Notamacropus eugenii: one gene and its partner. The protein of the gene in region 1 interacts with the protein of each later gene in a biochemical or structural test. Links are inferred from orthologs where the notes say so. Each region holds a gene or a part of one and is shown in the gene's direction. Other genes may lie near its edges. The genes, in order: CACNA1A and CACNB4.

What was found.
Region 2: the proteins of CACNA1A (region 1) and CACNB4 form a complex in vitro, tested with the Homo sapiens proteins (2 studies listed by BioGRID). The link is inferred for Notamacropus eugenii from reciprocal best matches to the Homo sapiens genes CACNA1A and CACNB4.

What each region holds. Positions count from the first base shown.
Region 1 is NC_092875.1:77,444,374-77,459,872, forward strand, and holds the start of CACNA1A (voltage-dependent P/Q-type calcium channel subunit alpha-1A), read left to right. Parts: upstream 1-7,116; 5' UTR 7,117-7,391; coding exon 7,392-7,684; intron 7,685-15,499.
Region 2 is NC_092876.1:209,343,491-209,359,162, reverse strand, and holds the start of CACNB4 (voltage-dependent L-type calcium channel subunit beta-4), read left to right. Parts: upstream 1-7,202; 5' UTR 7,203-7,879; coding exon 7,880-7,957; intron 7,958-8,011; exon of another isoform or gene 8,012-8,255; coding exon of another isoform or gene 8,256-8,264; intron 8,265-8,272; exon of another isoform or gene 8,273-8,545; coding exon 8,546-8,629; exon of another isoform or gene 8,630-8,664; intron 8,665-15,672. Other genes in the region: STAM2 (signal transducing adapter molecule 2), read left to right, coding at 1,109-1,337. UniProt on the Homo sapiens protein: The beta subunit of voltage-dependent calcium channels contributes to the function of the calcium channel by increasing peak calcium current, shifting the voltage dependencies of activation and inactivation, modulating G protein inhibition and controlling the alpha-1 subunit membrane targeting.

The sequences.
Region 1 (15,499 bases):
GCAGAGACTTTGATTTTTGTATTCTGCCTTTGTCTACAGGGCCTTGCATATAGTGGGTGCCTAATAAATGTTGAATTCAATTGAATTCATTAGGTGTTCAATAATAGTGATGAAACATCATGGAAGGGAGCTGTTGAACTCTATGGTCTTGCCAGCATCCAGTCTCATTTTCTAATACTGTGAGAACGTTTTTTGGTCAATAATGAGTAGATAAAGGCAAGCATAGAAGGCCCATCAGATGTGAAGGTAACACAAAGCTAGAAGAGATGGCTAACAGTTAAAAGACAGTATAATGCAGAAGAAAGAGCTCAGGAATTAGAGTCCAGGGACCCGGTTTCAAAGTCTAACCCTGTTGCTTCCTGCCTTAGTAATATTGGGTAACTCACTTGACCTCTTTGGGAGTCACTTTCCTGATGTGTAAAATGATCCTTTCCAGCACTAAATCTATGACTCTTTGTAAGAGAATTAAAAAGTATCCCAACAGGCTAGGAGAATGACTGAAACAAGTAAGGCACAATTTAATAGGGATAAAAATAAAGTATTTCAGTTAAAAAAATCAATTGCATAAGTACATTTGGGAAGGTGTGTGTGTGTGTGTGTGTGTGTGTGTGTGTGTGTGTGTGTGTGTAGCTTTCCTTAGCATTCATTGCCACCTTTACTTCATTTTGGGCTATTGGTATCCTCACAAAATTGGTACAGCACCAATGTTACGTGCACCCCTCATCCCTTAGCTCTTGCTCTCTCTCCTCAAATATTTCTCAAGAACTGTCTGCTATCTCTTTTGCCCACTTCACTCTCTACCTTGTCTTATTGTTATTCAGTCATGTCCAATTCTTCATGACCCCATGGACCAGAGCACATCAAACCATTCTATCCTCCACTATCTCACAGTCTCCCCAAGCTCATTTGCTGTTTTCATGCCACTATCTAGCCTTCTCATCCTCTGCCATCCCCTTTTCTTTTTGCCTTCCATCTTTCCCAACATCAGTCCTTTCCAATGAGTCCTGTCATCTCATTATGTGACCAAAGTACTTAAGTTTCAGTTTCAGTCCTTCTAGTGAATAGCCGAAATTAAAGTATTGACTGATTTGATCTCCTTGCTGTCCAAGGGACTCTCAAAAGTCTTCTTGAAATCATTAATTCTGTAGTGTTCAGCTTTCCTTCTAGTTCAGTTCTCACAGCCATATATTGCTACTGGAAAAACCACAGCTTTGACTATATGGACCTTTGTCAGCAACATGAAGTCTCTGCTTTTTAGTGTGCTGTCCAGATCCACCACAGCTTTCCTTCCAATGAGCAAGCATCTTTTAATTTCATGGCTACGGTTGCCATCCACGGTGATCTTTGAGCCTAAGAATATAAAATCTGACACAATTTCTATTTCTTCTCCCTCCATTTGTCAGAAGTGATGGAACAAGTTGCCAGGGTCTCAGTTTTTTGGTTTTTTCCTGTTAGGTTTCAGACCAGCTTTTACATTCTCCTCTTTTGTTTTTCCCTACTAGTGCAGTAGAATTTCTTGAGGGCAAGGATTGTTTCTTTTTCATTATCAATCACTTTTCTTCTCTTTGATACTTTCTTCTCTCTAGGTTTTTGTGACATTACTCTCTGTCCTAACTTTCTGATTGCTCCTTCTCAGTCTCCTTTGCCGCATCTTCATACATGACATCTCCACTAACTGTAGATGTCCCTCAAGGCTCTATCCTTGGCACTCTTCTCTTTTCCCTCTATTTGATTTCACTTGGTGATGTCATCAATTCCCATGGATTCAATTATCATCTCCATGCAGAAGATTTTCAGATTTATTTGTTCTATTAGCTGTGCATATCTAAAAATGGACATCTCAAAGATATCTTATACTCAATGTGTCCAAAATGGAACTCATTATCTTCCTTCCAACACACACACCAATGCTTAGCGCAGAGTCTTGCATATAGCAGGCATGTAAACACATCTGTTGCATTCAACAGATCCACCCTCTGTTACCTGTCAAATGTGATAATATTTGTAAAGCACTTAGCAGAGTGCCTAGCACATAGAAGGTGTTTCATAAAAGTTTATTCTTTCCCCCTTCCTCTTCCTAACTTCTACCTTCTATACATAGCTCTTAAAGATATGCCTTATTCAATGAGTTCCTTTTGCAACTACACTGAGACAGTTCCCCTTTTTCCTTCTTATCAAAATTCCATTTGTATCTTCAGCATTCAGTTTGCAAGACTTTCCTGCCCTGTTGGGTCTGTCTTATGTTTTCAAATTTTAGCCTGTTCAGTCTTATCTACCCTTTGAAATCTGCTCTCTCAAAAATTTAGGGTCCATATCAGATGATGCTGAGATTTCCCTTTTCTCTATCAATGGTTTCTAAGATGGAGGTTCTGGTCTTTTCTACATCAAACCACACTGCTGTATGCCTGTGAAACCTAGACAGTCCTTGACCAGTGCCAAGTCAGGAAACTGAATCGCTTCCATTTGAATTGTCTTAGGAAGATTCTGAAGATCACCTGGCAGGAGAAGGTACCAGACACAGATCCTTACTCAACTAGAATGCCAAGCATTCAAACTCTGCTTCAAAGACCACAACTCTGATGGACTGACCACATTGTTGGAATGTAAAATATACGCTTGCCAAAAAGGCTGTTTTATGGAGAACTTACACCAGGCAGGCTTTCATATGGTGATCAGAAGAAGAGATAAGAGGACACTCTCAAGGTCTCCCTTAAGAACTTTGAAATTGGTTGTGTAACATGGGAGACACTGGCACAGCACTGCTCAGCATGGTGTGCCCTCACCAGAGAAGGTGCTGTGCTCTATGAGCAAAGCAGATTGGAAACAGCTCAAAAGAAATGCAGGATGTGAAAATTTAGAGTATCCACCCCAAATGTTTACAGGGACTTTTTGTGCCTAACCTGAGCATTCCAAGCTCCTATTGGTCTGATCAGTCACAGTCAGACACATTGAAACGGGACTCTAGCACAGTGATGTCATTTTGATCCTCTTCGAAAACAAAGGACAACAGCCAACCAGTTCTTTCTTTTTGACTAGAATCCAGTCAAGAGTAACAGAGTTGCTTATGATTTCCTCTCTTCTTTGAAGAATGAAAATATGAAAAGAATCAAAAATCTGTTAGTATTCTGTTTTTGTGGTGGTGATAGAGCAATGGGCTTGGACTAAAGAAGACCTGCGTTTAAATCCTGTCTCAGACACCTACTAGATATGTGACCCTAGGCAAGTCACCATGCCTGGCACATGATAGGCATATGGTAAGCATAGAAATGCTTATTTCCCCTTCTCTTTTGACAGAGAAAGAGTTCTAGCAATTGTTCAGCATTGAACCTATAGAAACCTTACATCAACGTGCTGTTTCATGTCTCCATGCTCATTTGTTACCCCAAATTCTTTGTTAATATTTCATCCTTCTGTCCAGGTGGTCTGTGGTATAACCCCACAATAATATGACTTTTCTCGCGCCTTCTGTTGCTCTTTATCCAAATGCTCTCAATCATGCTTACCTTATCAGGTTCTGGAATTTCCTCACATATGAATGTGAGTTTTTATATATAATCTTTATATATAATCACATATGAGTGAGTTCTTTATATATGTATCTACTTTTCCATCTTCTTTGTATGTAATACTTCTCCATTTTCTGTTCTTTTTGAATAAGGTATGCCCTTCCAGAACATAATCCATTCATGAGTCCCATCCCATCAACTTTCAGTGATATCTGTGAAGGGGCAGCCTTCCCCAGGAGGACGTTAGGAGTGTGTGTTCGTCCTTCCTTGCCGAAGAAGACCATGCCATCAGAGAAATGATGACATGACTTGCACTTGACTTTGTTTTGAGTGAGGGAAGGCTGTGCAGGTCACCAGCCTCACTTCTCCTCCAGAGTCATCTGAATTCGGTGACCAGATATTCATCAGGATGACTGGAGATGACCCAGGATGAGGCAATTGGGGTTAAGTGACTTGCCAAGGTCACACAGCTAGTGAGTGTCAAGTGTCTGAGGTGAGATTTGAACTCAGGTCCTCCTGACTCCGCACTGGTGCTCTATCCACTGTAACACCTAGCTGCCCCGCATTAGGAGTGAGGGAGGAAGAAGACGTGCAGCTGCCAGTGAGGCAGTCCTCAGAGCCCAAGTAGGTATATGGCGGCTGGTCAGAGGACTTCCTTAAGGATGAATGAACCATGACTCACTCCTGCCATCATTGCCCTGGAACAAAGCCCCAGTTTCTATACTTGAGTTATAACTATGCTCTGCAGATATATACGAGCTGCTTTTTCTGCCCCCTTCCTTTAACATTTTCAGTCTTGCCTTTATTTGTTAACCATGACCTTGGGAATGTTACTTTTTATATGTAGGTCTCAGAGGCAGTTGAGCTAGATGCTTTAAGATGATAGATAGTTAGGAAGAGACCTTAAAGGTCATCTTGTCCAACCCCCTTATTTCATAAATGTGAAAAATGAGACCCAGAGAGGTTAAATTACTGGCCAAAAATCATACAAGACAGTAAGTAGGAGAGCCAGAATTAGAACACAGCTCTTTTGATTCCAAATCTGTTATATCATGTCAAAGGTGGTCTAACTCCAAATCTTGTGATTTTTCTCATTAACTCACATTACATGCTCATGGAAGAGAAAATTAGAGATCATGGAAAACAGTTAATAATCCTAAAAAATAATTTATTTTTGTCCATATACTTTTAAATGTTCACATATTCACACAAAGATTGCATGGATTCACCCTTCTCTGTCCTGTTCTCCTTCAACTACCTCTTGGCTTAGTAATATTTTCTGTAATTTGATTGCATCGCTCTGGGGAAGATGGGTCCCTATGGACAGATAGCCTAAAAAGAATAACCCAATTGCAGAACCCAGGTAGAAAAAAACCCACTTTTTTATGTTAAAAAAAATAGTGAGAAGCGAACTGGATTTAAAGTCAGAAGATGTGAGTTTGAATCCTAACTGTGTCATTAACAATCTATATGACCTTGAGCAAATAACTCACTCCGGGTATCAGTTTTTTTTCCTCTATAAAACAAGTGGGTTGGACTCAGGGGTCTCCAAGGCTCCTTCCAGCTCTGACACTTGTGAGTTGAGAATGAACTTTTCTTTGAAACTTCTGACCTTGGGCAAGTTAACTTACCTCCCCCAAAGTCCTCTAGACCAGGGGTGAGAAACCTGTGGTCTCAAGGCCATATGTGGCCCTCTAGGTCCTCAAGTGTGGCCCTTGGACTGAAAAAGTTTGGATTAGGTCTAAAGGCCACACTTGAGGACCTATTTGTTTTGTGAAGTTTGGATTCAGTCAAAGGGTAGCACTTGAGGACCTAGATGGCCACATGTGGCCTTGAGGTCGAAGGTTCCCCACCTTTGCTCTAGTCAGTTAGGGAGTGTAACCAGATCATTCCTTCCAGACCTAACATTTGAAGCTTCCCTAGTGACTCTAGGAAAAAAGACAGGACTTCCCAACCCTTCCTAGAGGTCCATATCAAGTCAAAGTAGGCCTGTCCCCCAGGTAGCTGCCACCAGGTTAATTATGGGCTACTAGGAGATTAACCATTTCCTATTTCTTTGCCTAGGAGACCTCTGACGGAGACAGCTCATAGCCCAAAGGTGGTCCCTTTGCTACCTATCTTGGGTGCTAACATCTGACATCGAGAAATAGACTATGGTTGGCTATTGTTTTTCAGTTCGGAAGAGAAACTCCAGACTTCCCAGAGGGGTTTGGCTTTTATTCTTCTTTCAAGGAATGTGCCTAGTTTCTTTAGAGCTCAAGCAGGCAGTATCTCTACACTTGATTCACCTTTCTTCAGCCCTCCTCCCACCACACCCCTCCTGAGGCCAGGGACTGGGAGAAGCACGGCACTGTACCACTACCACTGGGGTTCTTGGGGGAAATGGTGAGAGAGGAAACGAAATCTTCCTTCTAGGCTTTCTGAGGGGGAGGGGAATTTGTCCCAACTTCCCCTCTGCCTCCCCATCATCTCTATCCCCCACAAACTCTGGTGGGTTTGGTCGTGCAGTACCTCCTATGATTGGTCCCCAAGACATCATGTGCTAAATATTTGGGCTGCTCTTTCCCACATTAAATTGATCAGTCGCTGCTCATTATAGCTCAGCCTACCAGTGGTTCAGACCTTTTCTCCCATTTTTTTCTCCCACTCTTTTCTCTTTCCTTCCCTCTTGATCCATCCCCCCTTCTTATTTTAGCAAATTCAAAAGAAGGAGGAGAAATCTAGCGGGGAGGAAGGGGAGGTGGGAAATGCCAGACATTGCAGCACCCCAGCAGTGGTCATGACTATAGATGGTGGATAGCACACACTCCTTGGGCTTTCAGGTTCGGATTTTACCGAATTTCCTTGCTGCATTCAAGCCCTAAGATGATGCCGAATTGAGACACACGCGCGCTCGCGCGCGCGCACACGCACACACATCAGGGCAGGAGCAGCAGCCGCGGGTGGGGATACAGGAAGAGCAAACAGCCCTGCGTCTTCAAGGAGCCTAACGCGTTCTTCCGAGCATCTTCCCTCACCCCCCTCCCCAGCCCCTCCAACCCCCCAATCTTTTCTTTTCCTCTTTTCCAACCCCCCCTTTCCCCCTTTAATTTGTTTCATTTTTTCTACATATATTTCATATATTTATTTATTTAGGGCTCAGAAGCAAATGCTCAAGTGATATAGAACGGGGGGGGGGGAAGGGTATTATCTGCTGGGTTTTCTTTTCTTTGCAAAGAATACATTTTATTGATTTATTTTTTTAAATGATTTTTTTGCGGGAGAAGATAGAACCGCACTCAGTTGCAGAGAGAAATCATTTTTGAAAAATGCAGTCCTGACCGGGACATCGGAGGGATTGAAGGTTGCATCGCGTTCCCGGTTGGGGGGCCGCTGGGGGTGGGGGGGTCCGCATTTCTTTAAAAACTGTCTATGTGGCAGCGGGATCTGGGAACCTAAGGTGGATTTTTTGGGAGGAAATTGACCTTTTGGAGGGGGTGGAGAGAGGTTTGCCTTGATTTCTTCATCAGGTATTATTTGCGTTGCTTGTCTTGCTCCCCCACCCCATCCTCCACCCCCCTTTCCCCCGTGCCCCGCCCCCGCAACCTCTCTGCCCGCCCCTCCTCCCCCCGAACAGCAAGGAAGATGTCCCGAGCCGCTGCTGGCCCCTGCTCTGGCCGGGCTGCTGCCTGAGCCGCACAGCGCCCGCCCCGCCGAGCCGAGCCGCCGCCGCCCGATGGGATGGGATGTGGAGCTGCTCCGCAGTAGCAGCAGCAGCAGCAGCAGCAGCAGCAGCAACCTTAGCAGCAACAGTAGCAGTAGCAGCAGCCGCCTTAGCAGCAGCAGCAGCGTCCGCCGCAGCATCCGCCGCAGCCTCGTAACCCTCGGCCCTTTCCTCTTTGCAGGATGGCCCGGTTCGGAGACGAGATGCCAGCCCGCTACGGGGGAGGAGGCGCCGGAGGAGGCGCTGGGGCAGTCGTGGGAGGTGGAGGCGGCCGGGGTGCCGGGGGCAGCCGGCAGGGAGGACAGCCTGGGGCGCAAAGGATGTACAAGCAATCCATGGCGCAGCGAGCCCGGACCATGGCTCTGTACAACCCTATTCCCGTCCGACAGAACTGCCTCACGGTCAACCGGTCTCTGTTCCTCTTCAGCGAGGACAATGTGGTGAGGAAATACGCCAAAAAGATCACCGAATGGCCATATCCTTTGCCAAAGACCCTCTCACCTGCCACTCCCCACCTCCTCTCCCTTCTCCTGCCCTGCCCTCCCTGCCCCCACCACTTGCATGGCCACCCTAGTTTGAAAAAGGAATAGGGCCCTAGGGCAGTGGGTCGGGAGTCAGCCTGCTTGGGGCCCTAGTCAAGAGTAGGGAATCAATCAGAGGGTTGGGGGCTGAAGAAGACAAGGGGGTGGTCATAAGAGGGAGCTGCTTTGGAGGGTTAGGGTTTTGCCAGACCAGACACAAAGCTGGAGCTACCATGTTGCTCTGTGGGGAACTGGATTACTCTTAGTGACTCAAATTAGGGCTGGGCAGGCCAGGCCATTGCACTCTCTTCCACCCAATGGGCTAAGATTGCAGAGGGGAGCTCTGGCTGGGGCTTTGAGGCCGGTTCAAAAAAAGAGTCGTTTGGCCAAGACAGGACAGGAGCCTTTGAGAGAGGGGAGCCTGGAGGAAGAAAGAGGGGTCTTAGTGGCTGTGCTTTCTCTCTGCTTCTTCTTTTCCTTGATGAGTGTTAGATACCAGAAGCTCATCAGTTGTAGGCCAGTCCAAAGGAGGACCAAGTGAACTCTTCACTTTCTGTGGTCTTCATTGGGTTGGAAGAGAAAGGACAGGGGGGCAAACTTGCTTTATCCAACTGCACCTGTACAGGTAGAGGAGGAGAAGGGAGACCGGGGACCATGTGAAGTCTACATGGAGATTGTAGGACTTCTTGCTGCACCCAGTTAATATGGTATAGTATGGTCCTAGATGCTTGGTCCAGATCTGTGAAGTAGTGTATTTGTATATGGGTGTTACTGCTATATGTCTGCATGCGCAGTTAACATATTCACTAAAATGGTCCTTAGAGGTGTTGGTTGCTATCATTCAACTTGGTAGGGCAAGCATAGATTTCCTCCTTCAGCAGAAATCTGACATGCCATCTTCTTACACTTGCCCATAAAAACCCAGTTTGGGTCATTGTGGTAGAGAAGGGAAAAGAAATCAGGCTACCTGGGCTCAGCTACTTATTCCTAAGACCTCCTCCCCTCCCTTAGTGATACATGCTACTTCAGGTGCCCTGGCGGACTGGGTGAGAGAACTGAAAAATTACCATCCATTTGGATACACCAACTTTGGTAGGTATAAATACATTTTTGTTAAAAAAAAAAAAACAACTCAAGGCTAAGTGGTTGGGGACCACATTTTTTCATTGATCCTCTATCAAAATGTACCTCAGAGTCTATCAGACCCCTTTGGACTTGTCTCTCCTTGAAATGGGGCTAGAGGAAGGTTTAGCATCACTTGAGCTGTATGTAGGGACTGGTCTTTGATTTGTTGCATGGGTCTGTTCAGTCTCATAGCAGGTCCCTAATCATGACCTAGATTCCATGTGAGCAAATTTGCTGGAATTGTCATGGTTAAATTTTCATTGAAATATGTTCGGTTTTTTTTAAATTTAAGGTTCCTCCTAGATTCTCTTATGATAAAAAATGGTCTGTGTGGTTGCTTGTGGTTAAAAGCTTTGGGTTTAATTCCTATTTGATTTTGATCCTAGAGCTGAGTGCTTTGCACCCACCAGGAACAGGCATATGCCTGAAGCCTACTAGCAATGGTGGAATGTTATTGGTGGGCCAGAGATTGAATGGAGCTGCTGACTTCTTTGGATTGAAATTTTAGTGGGGACCATAAATGTTTGAGGTGAATAAGTTGATGAGAACTCAATTTACCCCAAGGGCTGTGAGAATTAGTTGGTTCATTGGGAGGTCATGGGGGAGGAAGAAAGAGGGAGGAGATTACATCCCTAATCATAGGAATTCTATGAAAATTATTGATGGAAAATGACCACTATGATTACACAGCTCTTCAGAGTGGTTCCTGAGGGAAGAGCCTCCTAAAATGGGAAAGGTATTGCCTCAAATAATGGCTGAGGATTAACTAGTCAAAATGGTTGGAAATCCCCTTCCATTCCGGGGATTTCTGATATGCTCAGTAATAATAGTTCTGTTTAACTTTTCTTACCCAAACTTGGGAAGCTGGAGGTTAATAAAAGGTGGCTAGCACTCAACTGGAATTTCAGGAGCTACATCCTGTAGCCTTTTAGAACATGTGCTATGCAACAGTGGTTTTCCTGCAATCCCCTCTCTTTTGGAAGATTGCTTTGGGAACAGGCACAGTACTGACATGTTTTAGGAAAGAAAATGGTTTAAGTTCCCTTTTTCAATCTGATTTTGAAGCTAAAGGAAATGAGGGGAATGAGAGGCTTTATCCCGTGTCCTTAACTCGCCTCTGCCTAACCTAGATCACCTAGTAAATATCCCTGTTGAACAGGGGGACTTCAAAGGGCTTACCTAAAGGAAGGATTGCAGCTTGGCAGTGCAAGGCTAGAGCACAAGCCTTCATTTGGAATGCCATTGTTTGCTTTGGTGAGCTGTCCTAAAGCTCTTTGTAGCCTCAAAATCAGGTTTCCTGCATTCTCACTTGGCAGGTTGTGTGTGTCATCCAATTGCCCATGAGTGGTAAAGATAGTACTGTCCCCTCCTGAGGTGGAAGGCCTTTGCAGACAGATTTAACCAAGCAAAAGGGCATTGTGAGTGGAACACCCAGGACTAAATCCCAAGGCCTGAGATGATTTTAGGAAAGGTTGTGGCTAGGCACAGAGAAGTAGGATCATCCGCAGTGTGTTCAGTGCACAGAGAATGGAGGAGCCAGTGACACCCAAGGCTGTATGCAGACTCCAGACATTGAAGTTCCCAGGATGGAACATGGATTTGTCCACCACTCAAAGATACCTGTCATTGCTTGTTAGGTTGGATCTTTTATCTGATAATATCATTTAAGGAGGGCTGCTGAGCCAACTAGGGAGTGTGTTCCTGTCTGACATGTGGAATAAAGAGGACATGTGTGTTTTTATAGATAGAAATGTAAATCTAAGTCCAAATGCTTGCAGAAAGCTCTGATCAATAGAGAATGTTGTTTTCATAAGACTTAGAGCTGGGAAGGGTCCTGAGATATCATCTTCTAGGTATAGTAATCCCCATATTTTACTGATTTCGAGACTGGAGCTGAGGGTGGTAGCGTGACTTGTACTGAGGTCACACATCCAGTCAGTGGCAAAGCCAGTATTCGAATGGTATTTATTCATCTTATTCCAGGTTCAGTTCACTTTCCAAGACAGGGAGCCAACCTTAGAATTACTCTACCTTTTCCGTTGCCTCCTGTCACTCCCTTAGCACCCCACTCCCACCCTCTGAAGCCTGTAAAACAGTGAATTCTTCCCTTCTCAAAATGTAGAAAACTGAAATGAATAAAAGTCATTAAAATTGTTGCTTACATTAGTAATTTCTGTGAGTATACTGTTTTTCTGGAAGTAGGCTAACTGCATCCCCCTGGTATGAAGATTTCATCTATTGGCACGCACATTTAAATATGGTCATACTGGTCCCCAATGACTCCCAAAGAGTTTAAATCTGTCAGCTAACTAACATACAGCTGGTAACTTTGAGCCGGAGCTTCCTTTTCATGCTACTTTGTACTCTGAATTTCCTAGCAAAGCAAGCAGACTTCACTTCCTATTTCTAGGTCTGCTGATGCCAGCAGATCTCCAAATGAACTTGTCAGGGGGATTTGTCCCTAGAAGGGATGGCAAATTCAGGCATCTGTGTTTTGACGTAGTTGAGCCCTTCACTAACGAACCTGTGGTTCCGGTTTTTATGTTCATGGGAAGCCACAGAAATTGAGTTGGAAAGGAGCTCAGAGATCATGTAGTCCAAGCCATACCTGAACAAGAATCCTCCCCTACAACATTTCACACAAACCATTATCCGGTCCCCACTTGACGACAAGCAGTAATGGGGACTTTTGAAGGCGGCCCATTTGATTTTTGTACAGCTCTGTTAGGAAATTTTTCCTTTCTAAATTCTAAATTGAACTCTTTCCAGTTTCCACCCATTCCTCTTGGTCCTGACCCCTGAAGTCAAGCAGAACAAGTCTAGTCCTTTTTCCTTATGATTGCCCCTCAAATACTTGAAGACAACAACTGTGCCTTTCCCCTTCCCCCAACCTTCTCTACAGGCAGGCTTTTCAACTGATCCTCCTGTCTTTTTGAACCCTAGACATGTTGACCCCAGGATTTTTAGGAAGCCTGATTGATCAAAATTTACAAGGCACATTTTTTTTAAAAGCATAGATTAGAATTCATGACCCAAATGGGAATCTGAGAGAATCCGTGATTCTAAGGAGAGAGGAGCCCGCAGGTTGCTAGTGAATTATTGATGTGTACAGAGTAGATGCAATTTCTTTTATTAGATGCAGAACTATATAACTTCTTAACTTAGCTTGACTGGCTTATTCAGAAGGTAAAGCGACGAGGAGTGAGTTAATTTATCCTATTTTGTCAGGGAAATGACTTTTTTTTTCTGCTCTTGTTAAAATGATGGCAATGATAGGGTTAGGTCCTAGCTAGTTAAATTGGAGAAAGTGAGTAAATTGGTTCTGAAATGCATCTTTGCATCAGTACAGAGGAGACATGGATGGTTTTTAAACAATTGCAGTGCAGTAGACAAGATTCTCAGACATTAGGCTAATTAGTTCTGCCTCTATTGTGAATTAAATAGTGTTTTGAATGTTGTGCTCATGGATAATTTATTATTTCCTAAAATTGATAATAATTGTAGTCCTTGACCCTAATGTAAAGAAACTGGATTGTGGGTGGTAGGATGTTCATGGGGATGAAAAGGCTCACACCAAAGATGGACTGGAAAAAAAAATTAGCGGGAGAGGCATGCCAAAAATTGGAAAAAGCATGAGAGCCAAATATTTATAATTCTGTGGTGAAGCCAGCTTTCCAGAGTTTGGATTTGTTATTTTTCATTTGGGGACCATTTCGCCCTCTTGAAGGTGGTTTAGTACCTCCATTCCATTTCTTTATCTTGAGCACTCATGCTCCAGAGTACTTTCTTGGCTTTGGGGACACCATGACAGTGAATGTCCAGAGGGCAGGAGGCAATACTTTTCTGTACAAGTTCATTTGTTCTTTTTGCAAAAGGTGGGGGATGTGGGGAAGAGGAAGGAGGCATCTCCAGATTTGCACTAGAAAAGCTACAGCCACCATGAGAAATAAGAAAAGCAGCTAGAGAACTTGGCTTCTCAACATCTGGACCCTAACTCTGCTGTCTCCCTCTGTACACACACCCAAAGAAGACGTCTTTTCCTCATTCAATCATGGAGTCATAGGAATTAAAGCTGGCAAGATGCTTAGTAATCTTCTGTTTCAGCAGTATTTCAGTAGTGACAGATGAAAACTGCAATAATTATAATGAATACCTTTAGCTCACATGAGATAATAGAATACGATGTGTATTAATATTGGACAAGAAAGGAAGATAATGAAGTGGGCTTCTTACTGTGCAGTGGTCACTTTTCCCAAACTTGTTTAAATTTTGATGGAAAAAAAGGTGGGGGAATTTATTTGTGGGAGTTAGTGGTGGTGGTGGGGGAAGGTAGAAACTGATAAAGGAAGCTTTTATCATGGTTAGAGAGGGTAGATTCATTTGTATTTATTAATTTGACCATCTCTATTAGAAATAGTTAAAGGGCTACTTTTAGCAGAGTTTTGGCATTCATTTCAGGATGGAAAAACCCATGTCCATTTGGTCTATTTTCTACTCCTATCAGTTGCTTTCTCTCCTCAGGAAGAATGGGTGGCTTATCGAGGGGGCACAATGAGAAAGTAAGGAAAAGACACACACACACACACACACACACACACATACATACACACATGCACTAGCCATTCACTTTCTTATCCAACCCTTTACGCCCCTTGCTGCTATGTATCTTTGTTTTCTTGCCTTCATCTTTTTTGGATGTATCAGAGCACACCATTTCGAAGAGATTTGCAAAATGGAGGCCACACAGATTGTCAGGGACATTGTTAGCTGCTGCTCAAGCTACAGGGCAATCCAAGTGGGAGAAATTGCATCTGCTTCTTTCCTTTGGCCCCAGTGAGCTTTTCTGTTGTATTTCTTCTCTAAGTCCGTGCTGTCCTACTCTTCTTTCTGTCTCTAGTATTAGAGAGGAGAAGGTAGAAGGGAAGTGGCAGAAGAGGGGGTGAAGTAGCCTGTGGGAACATGCCATACTCGATCCTTTGTGGATTTCCAGTTAGCAATAATTTAAGCATTGTCTTATTGGAGATGCACCCATTTTTAGGGAGGGAAGGAGAGACAATACAAGCCAGAGTGATGTGGTCAGAGCATTGGTGGAGAGGTTATTTCTAGAGGAGTGAGTGAATCTGACCTCTGAGTAATGGGCATTTTATTTGAATGAGTTCTGTTTAGAAGTTGACTTTGTGTGGATGGCTAAAAGCAGACTAGTGTCTAGTGACACAGGATTTCTGAAGGCATCTTGCTTTCATTTCCACATTGAGCTTTGTTGCCTATCTCAGAGTTGGTAGATGTGTCTATTTTGACAAAGTAAATCCAGTGTATTTAGTTAGTTCTCAGCCAAGGTCTGGAAGCTTGGGACTCTTGGGATCAATCTGAACTCTCTGAAATGACCCTTAAGTAACAGTGGTCACCCAGATTCTGAAATGGAGGTGTGAGCTAAATTTGCTTGTGAACTCTTAAAACCAGGAAATGACATTCTTTTCAGCGTGTTTCATCTTTGTTTTTCTTTTTTGGCCATTGTGAATGTTTTATCAATCTTCTTAGAACATATATACATGAAACGCTGTCTGGAGTAGGAACATGAAGCCTTGATAATATTTTTTCAATCTTGAGACTAATTTAACTGATTCATCTTAAATAAGACATTAATCCAGAATTTCCTGCTCTGCAAGGGTTACAAAGATAATGACCTTCAAGAACCAATATTAATACACTTCGTAATCTATTATCTCATTGACCTTTATCACTTTCTTTAGTAAGAATAATGGATGCCCAGTGCCTCTGCTGACATTGCATTTTCCTCTATGAAATTTTTATGGTATGTTGTGGATTTTGTGAACAAGAAATCAGAAGTGGAGGTATCACAATGATAGAAAGGGAAGAACTGGCAAAGGGAGATTTTTTGGGAGAGGAAAGAAAATGGTCAGTCAAGGTGTGGATGATTTTAATCTGTTCTCTGTGGGGTGGCTAGCTTCAGCATGGTTCACCTGAGGTAACAGATGAGCCAGAACTTTCCCCCTCTCCAACCTTTCCAACACTTAAAGTGAGGTTTCTGTGGCTAGAGAGGTTGTTCCCCTTGAATTAAGGAGAAATCTTATGGGACTCTTGAGGGAGGGTCTTGGATATTCTCAAGAGTCATCCCACTTTGGCAGTACATGGGTCAAATGTAGGCTTTCAAATTATGACACATGAATGGTTTACCATGCAGCAATGGAATGTGGGTAGCATTTGGCAGATTTTAGTGGGCAGCTGCAGGGAGGGCTCTATTTATTGTATTCCTTTTGGCCAGAGAATGATCGATTTCCCATCATTCCTTGTCAGGTGTAGTAGGCCACTGTTAATGGTCCCAATTTCGTAAAACATACTAATTACTCCTGAACAATGTCTTGTTACCCTCTGGCTGAGCCCCATCTTGGTTTGGAATTCAAATGTTGAACACAGTTGGTAATTAATTGAGTTTTTTTGAAATATCTTCTGTATGTTCAGATAGTAGATAATACCAGAGAGACACAAGAAGTAAAGTATACATGAGTTATCTGGCTTTTAGAGCCTTAAAATCTTATTAAGGAGACATGATTAACATGCCTGAAACAGTCTGTTAATTATGCAAAACCATGCATACTCAAATGCTAAATTGTGCTTAGTGAATT
Region 2 (15,672 bases), on another chromosome or scaffold:
TCAAAAGGAGAGATTACTTTCTTGGGTTGGGTGGGGGAGAAGTATTCTCAAAGGACAAAATGTGGAGTAATGGAAAGACCATAAAACTATACAAAATCAAAGTCCTTGGGGCTGATACTGACTCTGCCTTTTACTAGTTGTGGACTTGGGCAAGCCATATTACGTTTTTGGAGCTCACATCCATCTATGACCTGACAAGAGTTGGACTAGATCTCTAAAGTCCTAGTTCTTAACAGGGGTGGTTCTATGAAGTATGAAGCCCATATTCTAGTTTTAGGGGTGATTTTTTTTTTTTATCAGATTTCTTTTTTGTATCACTGTATGATGTAGTCCCCTGGCCATGGCCATCCTTAGAAGATTGTGAAACTTAGTCCTGTCTTAAGTAGTTTGGTGCTGGGAACAGGTATTAAAACCTTTGTCTACCACAGAAAACATTTATATGCCAGAGAAATAGAGATAAAGTAGGTATGGGGGAGGCTCTTCATGAGCTGATTGTATTTAAGATCTTAAGGCCTTTTTTTTTTAAAGCCACTTCCTCCTCCTGAGACCAAAATCAGAGCTAATAGAATGATACTGTAGTTGCATGGCTTGGCTTTCTAAGTTATTAAGATCATTGGAGGAAAAAAAATTACATATCTTTTGTCTTTTCTTAATTCCTTTTTTTCCTTTTGCATATTAAAATTTGTGTTTTTAGTAACTGGCATCCAGAATAAAGAGTCCATTGTTCTCATATAGGAATAATTAACTTTTAGAACAAAATGCTTGTTGAGTTTTGAAAGCTAAATCATTGAAAAGTAACAATGAGTGCTTAAATTAGAAGAAACTTCAGAGGTTATTGGAAAACATCTACCTAGTCCATCCCCTCATTATAGTTGTGAAAACTGAGGTCTTGAAAAGGGAAGTGATTTGTCCAAGCCCACAGCTTTTGGATATCTGAACTGGCAGTGAAAGCCAGGTCTCCTGACACCGTCCAATGCTCTGTTTCTATACCATACTGCAAAATGATAGACTATTTTGTTAAAATGATCTTTCTGCCTGGAATTTTGTATAAGAAAACAACTTGTTCTTAGTGAAATAGTTAATTGTTTTTTTTCTGCTTTGTTTTCAGTACTGGAGTAGATACAGTTTCCAATCCCAGATATATGAACCAGAACTCTACCCTTCAATCAGCTAGTCTTCCAGCTTCTTACACACAGCAGATGGGAATGTCTGTGGATATGTCATCTTATCAGAACACTACATCCAGTTTGCCTCAAGTAGCAGGCTTGCCTGTGACAGTTCCAGCTCATTCAGTTGCACAACAGCAAACAAATTATCATCAGCAACCTCTCCTTTAAAAAGCAGATCAGGCATAGTCTTGAAAACATTCATAAGTATGTTGCTCAACCCTTGTGATTTGAGTCATCTAAGAATGATATAAAAATACAACCATTTTTCTCTCAACTCAGAAGGACCATGAGTAAAGCACAAAAATCTCAGTTACTTCCCCACCCCCCTGACATGAAGCAATTTTTGAAGTACTGGTTATGTTAGACTATTTTTTCAGAGGTGGCTTAAAGATAATTTGAGTTAGTTTACTCTAGCTTAAAGAGTTTCATATAGATTTTCTTAACAAGTACTGAGTAGTCTTTTGAACATTAGCCAGTCTTTTTTTTTTCTTCTTCTAGCATTGTCAGTCTGACATGCTTAAAAAAATGCTTTCTTTTCAAAATGTACTTGGGAGGCTACTTTGATCTATTTAAATAATATTTTGTTTGAGTATTGTGGTTTAGCATTTTCCACATTCTTACTCCAAAATTTGAACATCTTTTCATTGAAAGCATCTGCCTTAGCTACTTGGCAGTTTTGTTTGCGCTACTGAAAATTTGGCTTTGACTGTACTAGTAACATCATTATCTGTTGAAGCAAACCTGAATTGGGAGATGAAAATTGTTTTACAGTATGAGGACCATTGTAAATAGAAAAATGTGAAAGGAACACTTAGTTCTGAAGAACAGCCCTACCAACAGTAGGCTAAAGAGTACCCCTAAATCTTGTTTCTCTTTGCTAGGGAAAAGCATTTAATTTCCTCCTGGGTCCATAGAGTGGAGAATTGTCATAATGGCTTTTTTTGGCCAATAAAGCCATTCCCTCACGAAGACCTTACCTAATTTTATGCCCTCTCTGCCGTATGGATTTCTCTTGCATGTTAAGTGTCCGTAATTCTTTAAAAGGAGCTTGACATGGATTAGAAACTTCTCATGGAGAGAAAATCAGGCTCCCTGATAACTATCTTGGTGTCAAGGGACTCTAATCATTTGAAGTGTTGTATGTTAAGCATGGCATGTGCCCTCTGTTTAATGTGTTTTAACCTTTCAAAATGTGGTTTAAGTATCATCGTTATGTCACTTTTGTCACCCCATTAAAATATTGGATGTTACTTTTAATTCATCATTCTGAACACATGGAGTGATAGCATGCAGTGGATTAACAAATAAACTACCAAGACAGTTTTCTGGAAACCTAAATTTTAGGTGGTTTTATAGTGTTCGTAGTTCCTATAGACTATAGGAGTTGGGTAATATATTTCAAGAACGTGGGGGTTTTTGTCCCTTCTGAAAATTTGCACACTACTTTCTCATTTAACAGCTTCTTCACATGACACAAAATAGAAAATAACCATAAATATGATTATGAATAACTGATGTTTACACTGGGGAAAAATAATGGTCATAACTTTAGTAATAAAAATAGTTATTTGCATGGAAACAAGATTTCTATATGTGATTTTTACATACATAATCCTTTCTACCAAAAATTATTTGGTGGTAATTCACCAAACTTTCTTGTTGTTGTTTATCTAGCTAAAGGAATTATTTAGTAATGTGCTCCTTTTTCAAAATGACTATATCCTGGAACAAAAGAGATCAATACTTGGTTTACATTCAGAGGGAAACAAAAAAGGCAAATTAGTATTTGAAAGCCTACTCCAAATCATTGTCTTATTTTAGGTACACATAACTGGAAAGAAATGTTCAGTGTTTGTTGCCCCGTATTCTGACTTTCGTTCCATATTTTCTGTTCATGTGAAGTTAAATATATGTGTGTATCTACACACACGTATCCTAAAATGGCACCTTAACTTTTTGTTAACATTTTTTCTGTTTAAAAAAAAATAAACAGTTTATTTGAAAAGCTGCTGTTCTTAATATTTACTATTTGAAAACATGGAAGAACTTATACTTTTTCCAAACAATATTTAATAAAAGTTATTTTAGTGTTTATGTGTAAGTTCTTCATGTATGATTGTAATTTGGAATATCTGAATAAAGTTTAATCGAATATAGTCTTTGAGCCAGTATAGATACTACCCTATCCATTAAATTTGGATCATTCAAGTAAGAATTAAACTAATGCAGTTTTGGACTAATTTAGTTCTTTATAACATGTGAAATGTATATAAATATTGTATATGGGCATTTGTCTGTGGGATTTTATACATGTGCAGATGTATTTACTTTCTCTTAAATTAAAAATAACAATTTTATATTTGGCATACCATTTCTTTTCTTATAATGTGTATTGTGTAAATCCACTTATCCAGTTTGTAGATAGTGTAAAAAAAGTTATTGTATCTGTCTTTACATGCTTTTTTGGTGTTTATAGGCGTTATAGGGATTTTTCCCCTTCACGATCTTATGTATTGTATTTATTTTAAGTCCTGTTCATAATTAAATGTTTGCTGCCAAAGGAATTGTCTAACTTAAGATTTCTACATTAAGTACATACCTACTGTTTTATATCAGGAGTAAATAAATCGCTTCTGCTTTTTCATATGCAACCTTGTTACATTAGAAAGAATTCCTGAAACTTTATAATAAAATTAATTTTATTAATGTATATAATTTGTTCCTGGGTGTTAAAATAACTAAAACTGGGTATGTGTTCTTCCATTTTGGATAATTTGAAACCTGAAAATTTTAACTTGGCAGTTTATACAATTACCTAAACATATGTGATATTCCGTTTTTAACTTCAAGTATAAGTCAATTTATACTATTTGGCCACTTGTATCATACGTATTCTAGACAGAAATTCTAGTAATCAGATTTTTTGAGGCCACTTAATTAGAAAACTATCATTTAAAAGCTGTGGACTTTTTTTTTCTGTTTCTTAGTTGTTGCTTATTAAGGGACATAAATTTGAAAAGCTCCTGACAACGAAGGGAGTAATTCTTGACAATGTCGTTTTGGTGGGAAAGCTTATTTTTACAAATAATAAAACTGATCTGCCATCATTTGCTTTTGACAGAAGGGCGTTTTCCTGATGTTTCCTTGCACTAATACATTAGTAGTGTGTAATGGGATGAGGGCTGTGGAGGGGGTTCTGTATTACTTTATTAACTGAAAGTCAGCATATTTTCCCCCTGTTTGGGAAGTGAAGCATAAGAAAAATGGTTTATATGAATTTAGGTAAGCTAAATTTGAATTTGAAAATTATCAAACTTGAAGATTTAGAAAAAGAATGGTGATATTGCTCACATTTTATAGCATCTGTTTAGAGGACCCTTTGTTCCAGGTACCTCCACACCATTTGTTTCTTTTTTTAACATACCAAGAGGTTTGCATTTTTTTTTTTAGGTTTTTTATTTTAGTTACAGGAAGCAACCTACTCTGTTATTTTTGCTAACAGGAAAAAGATGACATTCAATTCAGCATTCATTTGCTGTTAATTATTAAACAGATACTGGACACTGAAGTAGAAAATGAAATAGCCCTGCCTTCAAAGAGCTTAATTCTACTCAGGGAGAACAGCATATACAGAAGTACATGCAAAATATATACTGTACCATTTAACTGTCCCTAATGACATACAGTTTACCTTAAAAAAGTACGACCACTTCAGAGTTAATAAGCAGAAATATATCAGGACTATTTTGACCCTTACCACAAAGAGTATATTTAGTGATGAGAATGATTTAAACAGTGAAAAAAGATGGTAAGTCATAAAATCTCTTACTTATTGTCTGCCTATCCTTTGCCACTGATCCATATCTTGTCTCCCTAACTAGTCTGTAAACTCTCTGAGATCAGGGAAGATGTCTCATGATACTGTTTGCCCAGGGTCAAAAATCAGTCAACAAGCATTTAAGTGGCTATTAAGTGCCAGGCACAGGGGTTGGTGATACAAATATGAAAGATGAAAGTCTTCCTCATAAGGAGCTTCTAATGAGGGAGGCAACAAGTACACATATAAGTATTTACAGAATAAATATAAAGAGAATAAAAGCAAAGTGTTTAAATACAAGGTAGTATAGAAAGAAGGTACCAGGAGTTGGGGGAAACGTCAGGAAGACTTCTTTGTAGAAGGTAGTGCTTGAGAGGAGTCTTCAAGGTGCAGAGGGATCCTTTGAGGTGAACCAGTATTTCAGGCATGGGGAATGGCACCTGTGAAGGCGTAGAGATGAGAGGTAGAATGTTGAGTGTCCAGAGAAACTCAGATCACCTGGGGTCTTGGGAAGGGGAAGAAATGCTCAATAAGGCTGGAAAGGTAGGTGGTTGTCAGGTTGTGCAAGGCTTTAAAAGCTAAATAGGGGAGCTGATATTTGATGCTAAAGGCAATAGGGAGCCATCAGAGTTGATTGAGTAGGAGAGTGACATGACTAGATTTGTTCTAAAGGAAAGTCACTTGGGCAGTTCTAAATTCTATGTGACTTCTCAATAAATAGTCACACAATTCAACAAATAGACACACAGTGCACACACAAGCAGCTTGGAGTAGTGGATACAGAATCTCATGTGAGGAAGATCCATCTGCCTTTGATACAGTTGTGTGACCCTGAATAAGTCATTTAACTTTCAGTGACTCAGGCAGCTCTCAAAGACTGTGATAAGTATTGAGAGTTTTCTCACAAGCAGATTCCCATAAATGAAATCACATTTATACATATTAATCACCATCCATATCCCGAATAATTTGTTACTAAGCTGTGAATTATGTTACTGTAATGAAGATTTGGTACATGCTGAGGCATTCACTAAGACTTTGTCACACTGTGTTGATGAAATTGGGGGTCATTAAATTACATTATAGTAAGCGATCCCACTGTAATGCAAAGAGAAAATATGCTTTTTTTTTAAAGGAACCTGGAGCCCTACTTTCTAGTTATGGATCTCCCACTAACTAGCTGTGTAACCTTGGATAAATCAATAAACTTCTGTAGACCTTAATCTCATCTGTAACATGAGGGATGCCCCATACCTAGTGTTTAGGTGGATAGAGTACCAGGCCTGAGGTCAGGAAGACTCATCTTCCTGAATTCAAATCTGACCTCAGACATTTACTAGCTGTTTAATCCTGGGCAAGTCACTTAACCCTGTTCGCCTCAGTTTCTTCATCTGTAAAATGAAGAGAAGGAAATGGCAAAGCACTCTAGAATCTGCCACTAAAACCCTAAATGGGGTCATGAGTTGGTGATGACTGAAAGGACTGAATAACAAGAAGTTCCTCTCCTCCCTTTGATACCCTGTGGCTCTGACTATTCAGGTAGACTAGGGTAATAGGAAGATATAGGAATGGACAGACAGATAATATGTGTAATTTGATCCATCAGTATAGCTACACAATTGTTAAAAAAAAAAAATGAAACAGTAATTCCATCAAGAAATCACAGATGGCAAGGTGAACAGTGAGAGCAAAGATGGAGTGGGTTAGTGATCTGAGCTACTATGTCTGCTTTAATGGATTTCCTATGTAATATTTATAGATTTGCAAGTCTATGAGAAAACAGAGCACGCAAAAAAAAAAATGTCTGGCTTTTTGTTACTTCTTTTTCTCTCCTTAGGATCCCTAGTTTATCTCCTTGCTTCCCACAGTTGCTAAGCATGTCGCCGCCTCCAATGCTTTTAATTTTAAGTAAAGCACAATTCTTTGTGCTTTGGGGACTAATTCAAGAATTAGACACTTAAAGGTTGCATATGCATTTTAGATAATTCTACACATTAGAAAATGGCCATCCTTGCATATAGTACACAAAGGCATGTGGCCAAGTGTTACTTTAGCTGGTTGAACATGACCTTCAAAACTCCTAGGACAACATGGTCTCATGCAGGGTTGGCTTCCCCATACAGGCTTAGGCTGGCAGCTTGTTCCATTGTTGCTTACTATGTTGAGTGACTTTTGGCTAGCAAGCCAGGCTTGCAAAAACAAAACAAATCAGTCAGACAAAAAAAAAATACACAAAAATCCATGCATCAGCAGAAAAGGCTGACGAGTGAAATCAGAGAAATCTTTTCCCCTTTTATACTTTCTGTATAGCAGACCACACACACACACACACACACACACACACACACACACACCTTTGCTCTCTCAGCTGTGTGCTACACTGCACCAGTCTCTATCTCTAAGTCCCTGATTCATGAAATATGTCTCCTTTGTCTCTCATGTAAAATTGTGCAGTATTTTTATCTCCCTCCCCCAACTCCATCTTCTGGAAAGCTCGGTTGTGCGGGTGGAGGTGGGGGGAGTCTGAACCTTTTTTTTTCCTGTAGGATCAGGCAGCAAAATCCTTGATGAAACTCCCTTCCCCTCTCCCTCTTCCCAACACATTGTGCCTCGAGTTTGTGCCACTTTCACCAGAGCCCAGCTGGCTTGGTGTGGGAGAAAGTGATTCTGTAGCTTTAAGGAGCTGCTCGAGCAAAGGTACCCCCGGAGGCGGGAGCCACAGCCCCGCGGGCAGGCTGGCGGGCAGGCTGGCAGGCAGGCTGGCAGCAGTGGTTGCTCTGGCTGCCGCCGCCGCTGCGCCCAGGGAAGTCACTACCCTCCTCTTCAGGTCTTGCCCCTGCCAAGCCCGCTGGCCAGAGTGAGTAGGGGCAGGCAGGCCATGCAGCTTTAAACCATGTCTCAGCTCTCGTCGTCGTCGTCCTCCTACACCCAGAGCGGGTCTGCAGACGGGCGGCACTCCCCCGGCTCGCAGGTACCTCCTCCTTCGCAAGCTTTCGGAACCACCTCCATCTGCTTCTTGGCATGCAGTACCCCAAGTCCTGCGAAGCAGCAGCAGCAGCAGCAGCCTCCGCTCCCTACCTCCTCTTTTGCCTCCTCCCCCTTTTCTCTTTCTCCTCCCTCTCTTCTCCCCTCCTTACCTTCTTCCCTCCCTCCCTCCTCCTCCTCCTTCTTTTCCTTCTCTCAGTCTCTCGCTCCAGCTAGAGGAGCCGGCTGGCCTCCCCCTGTCCGATGCTGGGAGCTCCTGAACCAGCTCCTTCGAATCTTTGTTAATGGATGTGGTGGGTGTTTGTGGTCCCCTTTTTCGTGTGGGGTGTGTGTGTGTGTGTGTGTGTGTGTGTGTGTGTGTGTGTGTGTGTGTGTGTGTGTGTGTGTGTGTGTGTTTCTTGGGGGGATACTTGGGCTCCGGGGTTGGGACCCGGAGCTGCCTGGGGCTGGTGCGGATTGGATGAATGAATGGTCAGCCCTCTCACTCCTTGGCCGGTGACCCTGCTGCTTTAGCCGCAGGTCCCTTTCCTAACCCAAGCCCTCACCCTCTTTTCTCTTACCTTGTCGAGTTCAGGTGGCCAGAGGCACCACGACCCGGAGGAGCAGGTTGAAGCGATCCGATGGCAGTACCACTTCGACCAGTTTCATCCTTAGACAGGTAGGAAAGAAGCGGGAAGGAGGGAGAGGAGGAGGAGAAGAAAGAGAACGAGGAGGAGGAGAAAGAGGAGGGAGAGAGAAGGCGAGAAAGAGGGAGCAGTGCTCCCGGCCCGGCAGTCGGGGCTCTCCAAACGGGGCGGGGGCGGGCTCCGAAGTGGAAGCCTCGCGGCCGCCTCCACGTGTAGGAAGGTGGCTGTCGGTCCTTCCCGCCCCCCCCAGGCAGACAACACAAACACACGCCCGCCTGGGGCTGGAGCTGTTTGGTTCTTTCTGGATTGGCTTTTGGAACTTCTCGTTCTCTTTTCCTTCTGCGATTCGCAATGTCTCCCCCTCCTCACTTCTCTCCCCAGTCCAATTCTTGTATCTTACGGTTTCAGGGAAGAATGTTTCTAATTCGGGAACTACATTTAGTCCACACTAGAGTTAGTTTTGTGTGTCGAAAGAGAAAGAGTTCAAAGGCTCAGGAAAGAAGGCAATTGAATGTTTTGAGGACTGTGAGCCCCAGAACTGGAAGAGTTTCTGTCTTCTCTTGGGTTTGGAAAAGCATCTTCGGAGGATGTGACCTCCCTTGACATTCAGAAAACAGTTGTGGACAGGGACCTCTTCTGATTTGGGTCATAGGCAGTCATCTGGGATGCTGAGGGATGTCTTTCATTTAGACCACTCAACCTAGGTCATGAGGGAGAACCAGAGAAGCTAATTTTCCTGAAAGTTTGTTCTCAGTTTAGGAAAGATTCTTTGCTCCCTTTTACTTAAAAAAAGGTTTTCAAATCTGGATAAAATTGTAGTAGGAGAAATCCGACGGACAGTTATCTTATTGATTAGAGTTTCTATTAGTACCTCTTGTCTTTTGGAATTGGAGTATGGACTGGGTTTATGATGTTTGTTATTGCCAGGGAAAATGAATGTTTAGAGTTTTTACTTTGGAGAACTGTCACTGTGTTCATTTTTATCATAAATATGTGGCAAATGAAACACTCCAGGAATGCCACATTTTTTGAAGAGACCATGTAAAGGTGAGTCACCTTGACTCCAGTGTAGCAGCTTTCATGATGTGTGCTCTGGAGTTACTGCAGGAATCTGGTCATCAGCACGAGGAGGCTCTTTATCCGTTGCTCTGCTGTGGATTGCTGACATGACCTTGGGAAGTTACATTTCCCCTTGGTCACTCAGTTTCTTGTGTGATGTGTTTCTAACTTAAGATTGTCAGTCAATTTCATTTTTTTAAAATTAGTCTCAAGTTGAAGGTGGCTGATCAACATTGCATACGTATGATATTAAAAAAATCAAATGGAAACTTTATCCTAAAGGTCATGTTTGAGGTTTATTTACAGATTACTTAAGTGTAACGCATCTGTTTTCTCAGAAACAGAGGTTTTATCATTCCACCATTTTTTAGCATTTAGATGTGCATTATGAGTCCTCAGTAGGTAAATACATTTTGGATTCACTTAGATATTTTCTCATTTTCATCATTTATTTATAAAAAAACGTAAATGTTCATTTTTGGAAAGAATTTGAGCGTTGAAAATATTTTGGTGCTTTCTGGTATTATTTTGTAGATGCCTATTTTTAGGAGTGTTTTATTGATGCAAACTGTTGGAAGCCCTAATTATACATCAGTGATACCTCTTTCATATTACCATGGCATCCCATGAACAATTTGGCTCAAACTTTCCTTTTTATCTGTATCTCGACTTCACTCACCCATAATTCTTCTATTGCAAGCTGCTGATTATAGCACAAAGATCAATATTCTTTCTCTGCTTCTGGTTTTCTCCCCCAAGTTTATTTAAAAAATACAAACAAACCCAAACTGCTGCTTATCAAATGATTTTCAGGCTAATTTTATCTGATATACATTTTATATTTCTGTCAAAGATATTTCAGCTATCTTTCTGGAAAAAGACTTTGTTGGTTTAGTAAAATGGACTCTTTAAATCTAGAAGATATTTGTGTTAGCTTGAAAAACCAAGAAAAAAATAGAAAACTTGATTCACAAGAGATTATTTATCCATTCTTCTGATTTATTTTCTGCTCAGCATAGCTATGCCTACCAAAATGGCTGCAAGACAAAAGCTGAGAAATTTCATATTTCTTCAGAAGAGACCAAAAATTGTGACATGAATTTGCCTTGACCTTATGGAATTAGACTGAGCAGTGGCCCTACCAAATAACAAGTATCTTATTAAAAGACCATGTGCCAGTTCCTAGAAAACATTAGTTACTTTAGTACATTTGTTGAATGACTGAATTCTTAGTATTTGAATTCTTGAAACACTGGGAGTAATGAGATTTTTTTGGTGGAAATTCCATGAACTTTGTGTAATATGCACAGAAAAGACCTTGCTAATGTTGAAAACAACACTGCTTCTTCTGCTGCTTTGGGCTTTTTGGCTTATGAAGTAACTTTCCCCTAAAGAACTCAGGTATGATTAAGACTCTTAGAATCAAAATGTAAAGGTTCTATGTAGTCTGTGTTTCCATCTAGAGATCTATTCAATTGTGTCTGCTTTAAGTTCAAGCCAGTTCTTCACTGCTGAGAGAATGGAGTTGGCAGTGAGGAATGGAGAATGACCTTCTGGGAATGAAGTTGAGATTACTTGATGGGAAGCCCTCATCAAATAAAATCTCTTTTTCTTATGCCTGTTGTAAAAACTAAGTGTATGTGTGTAAATGTGTATATAGCACAGAGACCTGAAAACATTCACAGAATCAATTAAAGAATTGCAGTGACCATCTTTTAGTTTTTGTAGGATCTCCTAAGTGTGCTTTCCCAAATTCCCTAAGGTAATATTGACTTTGTTTCCTGTTTTGTTACAACACCAGGAGTCAACTCTGAGTTCTGGAATTTGGGAATAGTTTTCTTTCAGAGAGAATCTTGCAAAGAATCCAAAGGAAAGCTTGCAAAAGATTTCTTTTTGCAAATGTTGGGAGGATTAATTTTGTGCAGCCTATGAGAGAGAACCCTGCCAAGGTTCCTTAATATAGTGATTTTCAACTTTACTTTGATAATCTGAAATCATTAAATTGCAGAAGGATGGATTAAAATTATTTTTGAGAAGGTGGGGGTTTTCTAACAAGAAGTTTGTCAGATATTAATACTGGATATCTAGGGAAGACTGCGGAATTTTCCTGGAAATCTTTGAAATAGATTGTACAGCTTGACCTAAACACAGAAGAATTAACTTGTTAACTCTTAAGAATTCTTCTAGCATTCTAATTCTGTGATCTAGTTATGACAGGAAGATCATAGGATTTGGACTTTGAAGGCACCTTTGAGGTCATCAAGCTTTACTGCCTTGTTTTAAAGGTGGGGAAAATGCGATCGTCATTCAGCAAGAGTTTTTTAAGCACTTACCATGTACCAATCAATCAATTAATAAACATTTATTAAGCTCCTACTACATTTCAGGTATTGTGTTAAGTGCTGGGGATACAGACTTTTTTTTTTTTTTTAGGAATCACACATGTGAGAAACAGGGAGAAGACCAATTTGACTGGACCCTTGAATAGGGAAAGAGATTAATATATAATGAGGTCAGCTGATGAAATTATTGAGTTTTTCTCGGTCCACTCATATTACTATGGGATTACGAGATAGCTAACACCGCTCCCACTCTAATTGGAAACTATCACATAAAGTTTGTTCCATGACCTAAAAACCCCACAATTTGGAGTGAATGACTTGACTCAAGTTATATAGAAAGTAGTAGAGCCTGGATTTAAACTCAGGTCCTCTCCTTCCAAATTATTGTCTTTTTTTTGAGGTCATGTTGTCAAGGGATAAACTTTAATAGTGTCTGATTTTTAAAAATCTATTTTCTCCCCTGCTCTGAGAGGCAAGCCAGCTAGTAATTACGTAGCAATATGGGTAGTCTAACAAAAACTCAGTAGTAAAATTAAGCAGCTTCCTAATTGACTAAGAATTAAACTGGGATTTTATAATGGACCAATAAATCCAATTCTGAGCACCGATTCTGACCACCTGGGTCAACTCCAGATTTGGAGGCTAGAAGACGCTGTGTTCCCTGGCTTCATGAGGGAGTCTGGTAAGAGTCATAGACCAAGTTAGGCTAGAAGAAATGCAGTTAATTGAATAGAATACATTAGGAAGTTTCCAGTGTCACCTTATCTGGGGCTAAGGTATTTTTTTTTAACTTCTAATTATCTTACACTGGTATAATAGTCCTGAATATGCATGATCTCTTATCCCTTATAAATAAACCTTGGTAAGACCACTCTTGTGATCTGAAGCATGTGATGAACAAGGGTAAGAATAGAAAGGAGTGGATGCCAGCCAGATCCAAGTCCCCATTTGCATTTGCAGATGGGATTGAGTGCAGTGAATATCTGAAATCAAGATGTCAGACATGCTTAGGGGTCAGGAGGCTTTAGGATATATGCTGCCTTGAAAGTTTAGGCTGTAGTGAAAGATAAGTATCCTTAGACTATAAGCTCTTTAAAGAGCGAGGACTGTTTTTTGCCTCTTTATATCCCCAACATTTAGTACTTTGCCTGGCACATAGTAGGCACTTAACCAATATTTATTAAATTGAATAGGACCTTCTTTATGACTTCCAGGGGAAAAAAGATGAATTCCCTGAGAAGTTGACTCAGTTCAGGAAGGCCTAAAGATAACCAATCATATACACTTGGTTTGTTGGGCAGAGCCCAATATAGCATGTGCCTAACTTTGTCGGAACACAATGGTAGTGGGTGAGCCCACCTCTTCTGGTCACTAGAGTTTGATGTCTAGGTAAAATCCTAATATACAATGAAGGTACTGAATCCTTCTGTGCTATAATTTTGATTTAGCATTATAGACAAGTTTCTGATATAAAACAAGAGAATCTAATGTATGTGTGTTTATGCATCTCAGAGGAACTAGAGTTCATCCACAAATTTTAAATCATAATACTAGAATTGGAAGGAATATAGATCATCTACTTCAAACTCATATGAAGAAGCTGAATTCTGGAGACATGGAATGATGTGCTCAGGATGCCATAATCTGATCATTCAAGACATAGCCAAGAAAAGGCCCTGAGACTCTAGACCCCTATTGCCCCCACACTACTTAAATTGTCCTTAAGTAATTACGCATGCATATATACACACTCACACTAAACAAAAGAAAATAGAAAAGAGAGATGGAGCTTATTAAAATTGGGCCCTGGGAATGTATTAATTGAGATGGTTGTTCTAGAGGACATGACATTGATTGGGTAATCAAAAGGCTGTACCTCATTCAACCTATGATTCATTTGGGCAAGTCACTTAGCCTCTCATTTCAGAAGTTCATATATGGATGTATGTATTTTTAAAATTTCTTTGACAGTCACTTAAATATTGTAAATCAGTGGAACATTTTAATGATTCATTTCCATTAGCAGGGCTGGAAGTTTTTACTCCATCTATAAATATAACTTCAATGTGACTTTTGAATTCTCTTCTCCCAGAGTGGTGCAGTCTGGTGAATGAACTTCTAGGAGAGATTTATGCCAGCTTTCTCTCCAAATTCTCTACGGCACACCTCTTCCCAAATTGAGCCTTGAGAGTGTGAGAAAGCACTCTGTCTCTTTTGGCAAGATATTCTTGCAGTCCTACTATTAGACTTGAATAGAATTAGCAGAAAGTAGGAAACTTATGATTCAGAATCCCAATTCCTGGGCAGGCAGTAATTTTAACCTAACTCTGAGTCTATTGTCATGTCCTTTTGAGTTCAGTAAATCCTTTTGATTTGCAGGAGACAATTAAGCAAAAAACCTGACTTCCAGTATTCTAATGTAGAACATTACATCTTTCTGCCACCATCTTAGCTCCCTTCTTGTGGTGTTTGGATATGTAAGACCAATTCTGACACAAGTTTACATCATCTTAGATAAATTATAAGAAGTAGCTTTGAAAATTAAAAGATGAAATTACCTTTAGTTTTTCATAGGGCCTTACCTTTAAACAGCTCAAAATATTTTCACCCATACTTTATGATGTCCATATGTAGCAGAGAACAGACATATCCCATATTCTTGAGAGAGAAAGAAGGCACAGAAAAGTAAAGGAACTTGTATTGCTAAAATCTTTCGGTGGAACTGATACTTGAGGTAACCCAGTATTTTGGCCTTGAGTACAAGTGATTGACTCTGCCTTTCTTAAGCTAAGATGATCAGGAAATGACAACTAAAAGCATTCTCTGGGGGCTTGACCATTTCCTGGTTCCATGCCAGAATGACAGAGGTGAAACAAAGAATGGATTGTATAGATTTTGCCAACTCTCTAGACTCTAACAGATGTCTGGGGAGAGTAGGGAGTGGGGTCTTTTCTTTCCCTGTCATCATACCTACACAATTTCCTAAGGTTTTGAACATTCTGGGAGATAGTGGGACATTGCCTCCTATTGCTGATTAAAGAGAATAGAATACTGTACCAGTGTGTAGAGGGCAGTGGTACATTCCCAACTCTCAGCCTAAGAGCAGTGATTTCTTCATTCCTTCTTGAATTCCCATTCCCTCCTCCATTATACTCTTCCCAAATGAGAATGTACTAAATTGTTAAATCTAAGTAGGAGCTAGGATACAATCCCCAGTATCTTCCCACACAAACAAAAACTGATTTACTCATCTGGTTGAGGGTTTCTTTGTGGTGATTTTTTTTGCCTGTAAATACCTGGGATAGGGAAACCAGTGAGTCAAGAGGATTCTGCCATAACCTTAGAAATGTAATATAGTCTGTCTTTCAGCTATGAAGTTGGAAGTACAGTCAAATTCCACTAATTTGAACTAAGCCCATAATAACTATGGGAAAGGTAAGTCTGAAAGATTGCATTTTAAGGTTGTTGAAAGAAAAAATGCAGATTTTTTCTTTTGCTTTCAAGTACTTAGAATGACAAAATGTTTGCAAGCAGTGCATCTTGGGGACCTGCTGTAATGAATAGATAGCGTAATGATATTTAGTTACTTCTATGCACATAGTATTTCCCCCCAATAATATTTTATTTTTTCCAGTTACATGTAAAGATAGTTTTCAACATTCACTTTTATATGA